Caenorhabditis elegans: one gene and its partner. The protein of the gene in region 1 purifies or fractionates together with the protein of each later gene. This does not show direct contact. Each region holds a gene or a part of one and is shown on either strand. Other genes may lie near its edges.

Evidence for each region.
Region 2: the proteins of F37A4.4 (region 1) and tag-131 fractionate together in Caenorhabditis elegans (co-fractionation; one large-scale study listed by BioGRID). This does not show direct contact.

The regions. Positions count from the first base shown.
Region 1 is NC_003281.10:6,711,547-6,718,543, forward strand, and holds F37A4.4 (Ankyrin repeat-containing protein F37A4.4), read left to right. Parts: upstream 1-2,019; 5' UTR 2,020-2,054; intron 2,055-2,104; 5' UTR 2,105-2,158; coding exon 2,159-2,231; intron 2,232-2,315; coding exon 2,316-4,509; intron 4,510-4,850; coding exon 4,851-5,031; intron 5,032-5,086; coding exon 5,087-5,201; intron 5,202-5,250; coding exon 5,251-5,475; intron 5,476-5,600; coding exon 5,601-5,701; intron 5,702-5,744; coding exon 5,745-6,060; intron 6,061-6,105; coding exon 6,106-6,245; intron 6,246-6,292; coding exon 6,293-6,439; 3' UTR 6,440-6,479; downstream 6,480-6,997. Other genes in the region: F37A4.5 (Mov34/MPN/PAD-1 family protein), read left to right, coding at 398-480, 527-769, 884-1,442, 1,488-1,562.
Region 2 is NC_003281.10:4,316,105-4,321,053, reverse strand, and holds tag-131 (Neuferricin homolog), read right to left. Parts: upstream 3,353-4,949; coding exon 3,281-3,352; intron 2,847-3,280; coding exon 2,664-2,846; intron 2,620-2,663; coding exon 2,528-2,619; intron 2,479-2,527; coding exon 2,294-2,478; intron 1,763-2,293; coding exon 1,495-1,762; intron 1,190-1,494; coding exon 1,009-1,189; 3' UTR 716-1,008; downstream 1-715. Other genes in the region: H38K22.6 (uncharacterized protein), read right to left, coding at 1-42, 100-177, 570-599; dcn-1 (Defective in cullin neddylation protein 1), read right to left, coding at 4,577-4,949. UniProt on the Caenorhabditis elegans protein: Heme-binding protein.

The DNA of each region.
Region 1 (6,997 bases):
TGGAAAGCATGTGGTCACTGGAGTAGACTGTGTAAGTCTTAAGACTAGTCTTCTTGTTAAGCTAGATGACGGGAAGTGGATTGGAGACGTTGGGATCTTGGAACGATGTTGATTTGTTTATTTTTTTTAATAATTGTTACTTGCTTTGTTTTTTTGTAAAATAAATTAACTGAAAATTCTCCTGTGTAAGAATTTCATGCTTCTCAAAAACACAACAAAAAACATTTCACGCGGAAAATAGTTCTCGCGTGACCTTTGCCACACACTCTTCCGACCCACGTCATCCACGTGGCAACGCCGAGACTTCTTCCGAAACTCTTTTATTAACATATTCTGCTTCGCATGTTGCTTTCGATTTTTTTGTTCGTGCTCAATAGAATAGAAATTTCTGAAAAAAATGGATCGTCTTATCCGTTCGTTGTTGATGAATCAGAACAAGCAGGCAACTGATAAACTTGATCATCCGGACACTTCTGAAACGTAAGTTTAAATTTTTTATGGATTCCAGAATTTGTTGAAATTTCAGAGTGAACATTTCCTCGTTGGCTTTGCTGAAAATGCTGCGCCATGCTCGTTCTGGAATCCCGTTGGAGGTGATGGGTCTGATGCTCGGAGACTTTGTGGACGACTACACTATCAATGTTACGGACGTTTTTGCAATGCCGCAGAGTGGAACCAGTGTGACCGTGGAATCGGTGGATCCTGTGTATCAGACAAAGCATATGGACTTGCTGAAATTGGTTGGAAGAACTGAAAATGTTGTTGGATGGTGAGTAAAGGGGACCCAAGAATATAGGCAATCTTTTAGAATCTACGACGCAGCAGATATAGTTTTCAGTTTTTATAATCAAAGCCTCTATTGAAATTATATAACAACTTTCAGGTACCATTCGCATCCAGGATTCGGATGCTGGCTATCTTCTGTGGACGTAAACACTCAACAGTCTTTCGAAGCTCTCCATCCCCGTGCTGTTGCAGTTGTCGTTGATCCGATTCAGAGTGTGAAGGGGAAAGTTATGCTGGACGCATTCCGATCTGTAAACCCACTCAACTTGCAAATTCGTCCTCTCGCTCCAACTGCTGAACCACGACAGACTACTTCCAATCTTGGACATCTCACTAAGCCATCGCTAATCTCTGTTGTTCATGGTCTTGGCACCAAGTACTATTCGTTGAATGTCGCCTATCGCATGGGGTCGAATGAGCAGAAGATGTTGATGTGTTTGAATAAGAAGAGTTGGTATGATCAATTGAATATGTCAACTTACTCGGAGCTTGAGAAGAAGCAGGAGGAGAAGTTCAAGAGCATCAACAAACTGATTGCAGTCTTCAATAAGGATATTGACGAAGTTAAGGAGAAACCAATTGCAGATAAGAAAGGAAAGACTCAAGAAGAAGTCAAAAAGTTTGGAAAAATCAATGCAAAACAGCAATTGCAAATGGTAAAAATCGAATAAACGTACAGTGAAAAAATGTTTTAATTTCAGATCACTTCTAGCCTTCTCAACGATTCCCTCTGCCATCAGCTTACTGCAATGATCAACGCAAAATCAATGACATGAACTAGCAACAATTTAAATTGTGTTTCTGAATGACGTTCTTCCCATTTCCATATCACATTCAAATCAATAAATAGAATCATTGTACAGATCTTATCTGACTGCCCTCCTCATCTGCCTACTTACTACCTATTTTCTCGATTCAGCTGAATTTCGGTGTTCCATGTTCGCCCAGTACAGATATTAATTGTATAGTTTGTTGGCAGTGCAATTACACATTTGAAGAACCTGTTTGTGTGGTAGGCAGGTAGGCATACGTAGCCTTGACGGAAGTCAGGAATTTTTGTGCCTACTGCAAAGAATGGGCACTTTCATAGATAAAGTTCTTATCAAAAACAAAACATAAAACCCGTGAAAAATATAGAACTTCCTTCCGAGGTTACCATTTACGTGTTCCAATAACCTACTAACCTTGTTCTCTTGTTTTTGCTACATTTAGACTTCACAATCAATTCAGATTTTCAACAGCTTCACAGAAAGCATCCGAGGAGATCCGTAAGTTATACCAAACCAGTTTCAGCATGATTTGGCAAAATGTGCTTCAGTGTCGGTATTCAAAGTGAGACGTGTACTAGGAAGGAAATAAATAAGAGATTCGCATGAAGCTTTGTCACGCTATATTTTCAACTTTTGTTGTATTCTTTGTGGCTAGTGGAGCCGGAGAAAAACAAGGTAAATTGAAAATTTCTGATTGATTCACAAGAAAATGTCATATTCCTGGACTCTCACATGAAACTTATGTTAATTACTATTCAGGCGAATCTCAACTTCAACAAATCTACGATGAGTTATCCATTCTGTCTCGTGTAACCAACGCAATAGCTCTACAGGCTGCAGCTCTATCCAAAACTGTCAAAATCCGTGAAGTGATCACCGAGCTTCTGAAAGTTGATAATGGTAACTTCTCAAACTTGTTGAGCCTAGATCCTGCACATCTTGTCAAAAACCTTGACGAGCTTCACAAGAAAAGCCTTCAAGCTGTGAGTGGTTCCAATGAACAGTTACAACAGGATCTCAAAGAAATGATAGCGATGAATGGACTATTGGCAGCTGTAGAGTCTGAAAATTACACTGAAAAAGCAACAGTGAATTCTCTGATTGTTCTGAAAAAGGTTGATGAGAAGATGGAAATTTGTGATGAAAGTTTGATCACAATTATGTTCAATATTTCTCAGGCAATGAGTGGAGTTCCATTTGCTGAATCTGACGAGATGAAAATTTTCTCGTCAATGAAAACTATGAAAAAGGCGTTTTATAAATGCATTTCCAAGTTTCCAGCATTTATGCAAAAACTATATGAATACAACTATCCGTTATCTGGTTTCCTGGAACTCAATGACACAATGAATACAATTAAAGCATTGAATGAATTGGACATTGCAAACAAAATTCCTAACATGCTGCAAAAGTTCAAAACTCCATTTTTGAATATTTTGGCTGTGGGGGACCACAGGAACAAAGGAAATACTGGAAAACTGTTACAATCTGCAATAACACTTTTCAAAAAAACAGTTTACTCGAATAGTTCAACACGCTTATTTCTGACTGCTGGATTCCCGGAGAGTGGAGACATGAAACGTGTGGCAAAGGATCTTACAAGTGATTGGTTCAAAAAGAAAGTCTCGCGAGGAAAAAGCACAGCGGAACTGGAGACTGCTCTAAAGCCTTTTAATCAATTTGCTGAGAGTATGGCTCATGTGTTTAAAAGTTGGAACAATTTTCGAGATGATTTTCAAACGGATTCGGCTCTTTTGGCAACTATCCCCGATTTGTTGTCCCAAATCGACGATTACGACCGAAATGTGGATAAAAAAAAGTTTTTGGAGAATTTTGAGGCGACATTTCGAACTTGTTTCAAAAATTACAAGAATGCTCTTGACCAGGGTGAAGAAACCAAATTTCTGAAAAACTTTTCCGCCGTGTATCTGTTGGTTCGGTCTGTTCAGGCAGTAGAACAATGGGCATCTGAGATATCGACTATGTTTGATGAAAAAGCAATGGATGTGTACTTTGAAGAGCTCGAAAAACTAACACCTTCAAATATTAAGGAACAAGTTGAGAAAATCACAAACTTCGACGATTTTTTGAAAATCATCAACAAATTTACAATGCTCAAGTCCCTTCAAACGCAATACGAATCTGCCTACAAAACTAGCAATTCGAGTGAACTTTCTCTTTCAAAAATAATCACTGATGCTGGACTAGTGGACACATCAAAGTGCCTTGAGAAAGATAAATTAGATTCTTCAAAACTTTTGAAAATGCTTCAATTCATGCAACACATGATGCAACTAGATATTGATTATTCAACTTTGAAGGCTAATCTCGATAACTTTTTTGAATTGAAGAAGAAAATGTTGGAGACTGAGAAATTAGTGAAAGGATTTACTTCAAGAAGTGCTCGAGCTGCATCCAATTCAGGAAGCCCGGTTCTCAAAATCAAGGACTCACAGAAGCACGCGGATCATTTGGGAAATGGCTTGCTAGCTATTAAAAAAATGATAATTTCTTTGAAGGAAAAGGCCACAATTTTAAAGTCAACGATGTTTAATGCAAAAGCCAACCAGGAAATAAGAGAGAAGAATCCTATCGACTATATCAAAGAGTTCTGGACAAATCCTGGCCCAAGCATTGAAAAACTTGTATCTGACTTGGAAAAACTGGAACAATCTTCAAAATCCTATCGTAAAGCTGATTTGCTAACTATCCGGAAAGTGTTTGAAGATGGCTCCAAGATTGTTGGAATTCCCGAAGTGTTCTCATATATTGACAGTCAGTTTGAGAAAAAAGGTAGTCAATATTCAAATGAACGGAAGATTACACAAGCGCTGAGCACGTTGGATTTGAATTTTGCATCACACAAAGGAGCGTTGAGTGCAGCGTCGTTGAGTGTGGACAACTTGAAATTGTATTTTGATGATTTGTTCGGATTGACTCCCAAAGTTTCTGTGTGAGTATTTGATTTTGAGTATTTGATTTTGTTGGGAGTTTCTGTTTTGATAAATAACAACATAAGTTTTCTAGTGCAACTTTAGCTGGACGAATATCCGGACTTACTATTTATTGTATTTTTATATTAGCATGGCTGCAATACACATTTTTAGACAATTTTTAGACAATTAATCGCTACAATATGCAATCATTTCAACTTTTTCGTAACTTAGCGAAAGATTATTCCATAAAAAAGAATTCAAGACTAATTGAGGGATCGTATCAAAAAATATATACAGTTATAGTTGCTTGTGGATTAGGAAAAAATATTTCCATAATTTTGGAATATCGATTTTTCAGGCAATCCGAATCCACCTCTCCAATCGTTGTTGTTCTTATTTGTGTTGCAATTGTCCTTGTTTTGGTTATTCTAGCCATAGTTGGCTATGGATTTACATCAAATGGAAGGAATCAATACATTAATCTCTACTTGTACTACTTTGGAAAAACTTCGGATTATGAGAAGCGATGGAGATACTCGGTAAAATTTTGAAACAATCTTTCTAAATGCATTGATTTTATATCTGTATTTATAGTTATTTATGGACCGAGTTGATGGGAAGAATGTCTTGATAGATTCTGTACGTGAAATCAATGCGACTAACTTGCTCAAAGCTGTGAAAAGGGGCGCCTATATCAATGTGTGCAACAGTATGTTATTCTTATTTTTATTTGTATACAATAATAATTTTTATTTCAGAGTATGGAAACACAGCTCTCCATGTTGCCACCAGAAGAGGCTATCAAAATCTTGTAGAGATCCTCATCAAACACGGGGCTGATCGTTCATTCTTGAATCCACAGAATAAGACGGCTGAACAGATGATTCCGGTTAACTATCAGGAAACACACAAAGAGAAGATTGAACGATTCAAAAGTATTGAGTCTATTTACAATAAGTATCGAAAGAAGAAGTTTAAGCTTTGTAGGTTTTGGTTATTTTCGTATATAGAGTTGGTAGTGAAGGTGACGCCTTGACCACATGCAACGTCTATTTCAGATGCATGTACCGCCTGTATATATATTTTCAGAATGTGTAAACATTTTCAGGTGTTCCCGAGAAGTTTCCCGTTAGTTCGTTCCATATTTACATTGAAGATAGGACTGATGATAATGTGACCAATGAGTTTACGACAAAGTTTCAATCGATTGTGAGATTTTTCTTGCAAACTTCAAAAATATAAAAACTTTCAGACCTCCGACGAAGCAATGATCACCACCACTCATGTTGTCGTGAAAACTACTGAAGACGGAATCCTCGAAACGGATGATTTGAACCTTTTAATTTGGATCTTCCACGGATCAATAATTGTTAGGGATACGTGGATGGTTGATTGCCTCAGAGACGAAAAGTTGATTGAAAAAGACTGTGACTATCTTGTCGAAAAAGTGAAATACAAGGGAATCATCTACGATACAGTAACCCAATGGTCCAATGCAATGGCAAAAGCAACTACTCCATTCTTGTACGGTGTTCATGTGGCTCTCTGTATGAAAAATTGCCCATATTGTGAGTAGAATTTAGGTTATCAATATTTAATTTAAATACATTCAGTGGCAAGTCTGACTGCAATCATCCAAGGCCAAGGAGGAACTATGCTGGATAAGTTCCCTGACAAAGATGCCTTTAACAAAGGATCCCATCCCTACCTTCACAAAAATCTTGGACCGATCTTTCTTCTTCACGATGGAACTGTTGGTTTTCCAGATTTAAAATGTTTTCAATTCGTTTCCTGTTTCAGGGCGACTTGGATCTCTACAGATCTGACCCAGACAAAATGTTCACCCTTTTCACCGAGCAACAGTTTATGGATCTGCTGTTCAAACGGGAAATCAATAAAGATACAAATCCGAAGATTATTCCAGTGCTTGTCGACGAAGAAGATTGATAATTGATTGAATGTAGAATGAATATTTAGTTGAAGGAATATTATGTAGAATGGTTTTCAGATATTTGAAATATGGTTGGCATTTTAAATTTGAAATACTCAAGTTGAATATATTAACTAGATTCGAGAAATCGGAATATTGTTCTTCATAATTAAAATGAGACTGTACTCATGTCCTACACAGTAATCACATCTTCAGGCAGCATCCGGGTTTTGTTTTTAATGGATTTCATGACAAATATCTTCTGATTCCTGAATGAAAGGCGCGAAGAGGCAGGTTAAAGGCGCCTCATCACGCCTCGACCTGGTGGAATTTTTATTTCAGATGGTTTGGGAAAATAGAAAACGTTTTCGTAATCTTTATTTCATTTCGGTTTGCTGCTTTCACTCACGAAAGCAAGAATTCTCTATCCTACAAATTGTGATCCGCTATTTTCAAAAAGTGTATCTCGACTCAAATTCAGGTTTTTCCTCATTTTTTCCTCAACGTCTGGCGGAATCGTTTCTCACGCACTGCATCCTCGGCATTAGCGCAATCCCAAAATCTTTTTTCGTGCG
Region 2 (4,949 bases), 2.4 Mb from region 1:
AGACTTTTGAGACGTTGCCGTTTTTGGACCGACTAGTTTTGCCTGAAAATTAGGGTTAAAAAAACGTTTTTTGGAGAATGAGCTGGTAGTCAATCTCACTTTCTTATCACTTCGGAACTTCTTTTTTTCGGACTTTTTACACTGGACAAGACAAGTCGCGAAGGAAAATAGAAAAATCTGGAAACATTTTAGTTTTGGGGAAGGAGGAATTTTGCGACTTTTTGAGCTGTTTTTACTGTTATTTTACTTTTTAAACTTTTCAACTGCAAGACTAGGTCTCGACGCGATCCAAACTTTTTCAAAGGCTTGAAAGGTTGAGCGGCGTGCGTCTTAAAAGGAGTACGGTATGCATACTTGCATTTAAAGAAAATATTCCAAAAAAATTCAAAACAAAGTGTGTGCAAAATTACAGTATTCTTCAAAGGCGCACATCTTTTTCAGGCAATGTCAAAAATCGCAAACTTCAGCACCCGCGGGTTGAAGGCGCATACTGTACCAATCGGAAACTGGGAAAGTTAAGACCCCAACTTAGGTCTCGTTGGATTACCGTAACCTAAATTTGAACTCACACAATCCAAAAGAAACCAAAAACCGTGCATTGTTATATGAGCAAGATGGAAATAATGACGATGGTTCTAGTTAAAATCAGATCTAATCTTGATTATAGATCTTTCCGAATTTTTAATGTGCTAGTAAAAATAGGGTCACGTAATATTTTGGGTTGATTTTATAATTTATTATTATGATACACTCTTTGATATTTTTCAAAAAGATACATGAAAACCTAACAAGGAATTTTTGTATAAAATGGGGGAAAAAATGGAAAAAAACACAGAATTTGATGAAAAGGCAGATTTGTAAAAAGTTGAATCAGGAAACCGTAGGTTTGGAGTGGAACAATAAGACATTGAATTAAAAGTAGAATGGGGCAACAGCTAAAGCACACATAATTTTGGTGGAACAGGGATAAAGGGGACTAGAAAACTTTGAAAAATTCAAAACTGGAAATTAAGATACAATTTTGCAACTATTTGATGTTGGTGAGCAGTCTGGGAAGAGTTCCAGGTCGGGATGATCAAGATCTCCACGATTACTTGAAGATTTCACTTCCTCGGCTCCCGAAACTCCTGGACCGAAATTTTTGACGCATGCACATCGGAATTTTTCAGTAGTTGGTTCGATTAGTTTTCTGGAATATGGGATAAATGGTTTTTTTACACTGATTTTTTAAATGTTTTTATCACTAAATTAAATTTTAAATTATGCTCAGGCTCGGGCTTATGTTTGGGCTTTTTAGAAGTTTCTTTTTTCAAAATTTTTACAAAAAAAATCCGCGTTTTCACAATTGTAGAGATTCCCAACAGATTATTGGAAATTTAAGTTTACTTTTCAAACTTTGACTGAAAATTTTTGGAAAATCTACATATTTTTGAACATATCGAAGAAAAAATTTTTTGGAAAAAATTTAAATTTCAAACCCAAATTATCTGTTACCTTGGAACTCCAGCCCATTGTCTCTCGACACCTCCACTTTTCGTCGAACACCACACCCGTCCTCCATTCTGATTATATTCACTATTACACGGAGGGAAAACTTCAATTTCCACCGCCTGTGCTTTTCTATACTCATTGGCTTTTTCGACTCGTGCTAGAACATCAGTTAGTTCAGGAGTTGGTTGACCTTCTGAATCATAGTAAAGATCAGCGACAACTCCAACCAATGGGTATTCTTTATCGTAGAATGATACCCAATCACGGATTGCTGAAATTATTTTGAAACGTGAAAATTGATATGAAATTAGACAAACTAAATTAAATATCAAAAATAGAACAGAAAAGGTTTTTAACTGATTTAAAATACAAATATTTGAAAAGCTTTTTTTTAAGAGTTGCATTGGAATTCTGGTTCTGGGTGAAATTTTGAATTTCGGTTATTTAAATGAGAATTTTTTTTAACTTGTTTAATTATTTAAAAACAATAATTTTTGTTTGAAAATTCGAAATACCGCCAACAGGCATTCGAAAATCGAGTTTTTTAAAGAATTAGCGTGCTGTTTTATATATTCCAGACATTACAGAAATGGCTTGAAAGTTGAATTTTTCTGTTTTTTTTTCAAATTGACTTGTTTCTATTTTTTTAGATTTTTCGGAATTTCAGGCCGAGTTTGAGTATTTCAAATTACAATTCATACTGATCCGGAATAAATTATGAATTTAAAAATTTTTTATTATACTACGAGAATCTTTTTTCTTTCTAGTATTTCAAATTTCAAAACAAAAAATTATCCCTCACATAGCAATTCATCATGCGAAAGTCCATGAGTCGTTGCAATCAGCCCACTCTCCTGAAAATCCCCAGTAGTAAATGCCCGTGTAGCATCTCGACCGGCAAAATGGTGATATGATTTTCCGGGTCCATAGTACTCTTTCTTTCCGTCTACATTGTATACACGACCCAGAATTGCCAAGTATATTGGTCTGAAAATTAAAGATATTTTAATAATAGTGAACTTTTTAAGAAATCCACTTTGAATCTCGAGTTCCATCGAAAAAGTGCAATTGTTCTGGTGTGAAGACGTGTTTTCCACCGGCGGCAACATCTACTTCTGGATTTATAGCCTGAAATATTTGATATTAAAATAATTAATGCATTTCAACCATACTTGAATGTGTTCTGCTTTTCTGGAAGGTATCGAAACCTCATTCCACGTGGCATCAATTGATGACGCCGTCCATTCTTTCGCGGATCGATAATATTCGGATTCTTCAAGAATAACGTCTATCGTTGATATTACATGTGTGACAGTGATATCATAAGAGGAGCAGATGAATGAGAGAAAGAACACCTGGAAATTTGAAATATTTAAAATTCTAATTAGAAATCAAAAATTATACGGGTTTTCAAACTTTTTCATATTTAAACTATGTCGATTTACGCAGCCCATGTACTCCTCGTGGAGAAGTTTGATTTTTTCGATTTTTAGCGAAAACACTTGGTTTTTGACTATCTTCTTTCGTTTTTTTGTATTTAGTTGACATTCAAATTGCCTATTTAAGTATCACTTAATAATGGTATTTTTGACGAAAAATAAAGTTATTCCTGTGTAAAAACAAGAAAATCATGTTTTCTAAAGATTAGTTACCACAATAACTATATTGAATTTCACCAAAAACACTATAAGCAATAAATAAATTAGCGATTCAAATTCCAACATTTTAGCCAAAAACACTTCTCCTCGAGGAATACACGATCTGCGTAAATCGACACTTGAAATCTTACCAGCGCTGCAATTCCAGCAAGTGTTTTGGTCATTAAACCCGCATCATCCGTTCTCCTTCGGTTCTTATCCATCTGAATTTGGATTTTTAAAAATTAATTCCTGATCTTTAAATATTTCAACTAGATCTTCAACGTATTGAAAAAGTTGAAATGTTGTTCAATAATATGTAAAAGAATTGATTTATGCATACGTACATACTTTCATAGTGAACACATATGGAGTTTTTGTAAGAAAGGCAAAAAAAATGGTTAAATGAAGAATAGAAAATGGAAAAGTTGAGAAAATGATGGAGGGGGGAGCAAATTTTCAAAATCAAATTTACAGGATTCACATAAATACTCAAATGAAAAATATTCTTAACTTTTTCCATACTTTATCATTTTTCTACTTTTCATTGTGATCTTCTTCTTGGAAGAAGAGAGATGGAGAGAGATAGAGAAATGAGGCAGCAACCCGTCAAAGAGTATGTGCAGAGGGAGAGAGTAATATGGTCGAAAAGTAACGGAAATGTAGCGAGAGACAACTAGGATCAGAGAGCATACTGGGAGACAGAGACAAAACCTTTAGGTGAGAGAGGGATAGAATAGAGAAAGAGACGATGGGCAAAAAGAAATAAGTGGGATTCCGGAGACGAGAAAAAACAACGGATCAGAAGAGATTAAATGATGAGAGAGAAATAGAGTTGATGGATGAGATGGAGACGACGACCGCATTGAAGACATTATCGATTTGTTCCGGCGGTGTGAATTGTTATTTTGAAGATAGTCTTGAGCATGGGATACTGAAACAATTTGAATTCTATTAGTTGTAAATTAGAATTAAAATAAAAAATTCCGGGTTTCTTTTGCGCTATTTCTGAATTTGGGAATATTTAGGATATTTTTCGAAATAAAATCCCAATTCGCTACCACACCTTTAAAGTGTCGAGTTTTCTCGGTATAATATAAAAATATTACACAAACGCGAAATTTCGCATAAAAAATACGGTAGCCGGTCTCGGCACGAAACATTTTTTGTTAAAATATGTGCGCCTTCAAACTTTTGATTTTTTGAAGTTTTTCACAAGATTTTTTAAAGCTTATCTGTTGTCATAGAAAAATTAACGTTTTGAAAAGTGTGAAACTACAGTACCCATTGAAGGCGCGTGCATTTTCGCATTTAACCAATATTTGTCGTGCCGAGACCTGGTACCGTAGTTTTGAAGCAAAATTTCGCGTCCAGGCAATATTTTATAACTCTGAAAATAGGAAGAAATTGGGGAAACACGAACCTTTAGGATTTTAGAATTGTTTGTCCTAATAATAACTTGGTGTCTCCATTTGCTGATCATTTGACGCATTTCCTGGCTTTGGATAATTGAGATTTTCACGGCAATAATCAACGAATTGATCAATAAGCACTGGCCATGCTCCTTCATCATCGTAATCCGACAAATCTGGCTTACTCAGAAGAATAAAGTCCCAGAAGAGATTCCACGTGTCACGAGAGATCCACACCGATTTGAATTGCTTCGCATTGGAAGCGCCCACGTTCTGAGCGAGGCGAGACGCCGCCGCGTTCTCCTGTGCCCATAGAAAATCGATCCATTGAGTCATAATTGTTGATCGTTGTCCGAAAAGAACATCCCAGCAACAGATGGCAGTTTCAAGATCCAGATTGCGGCAAGCG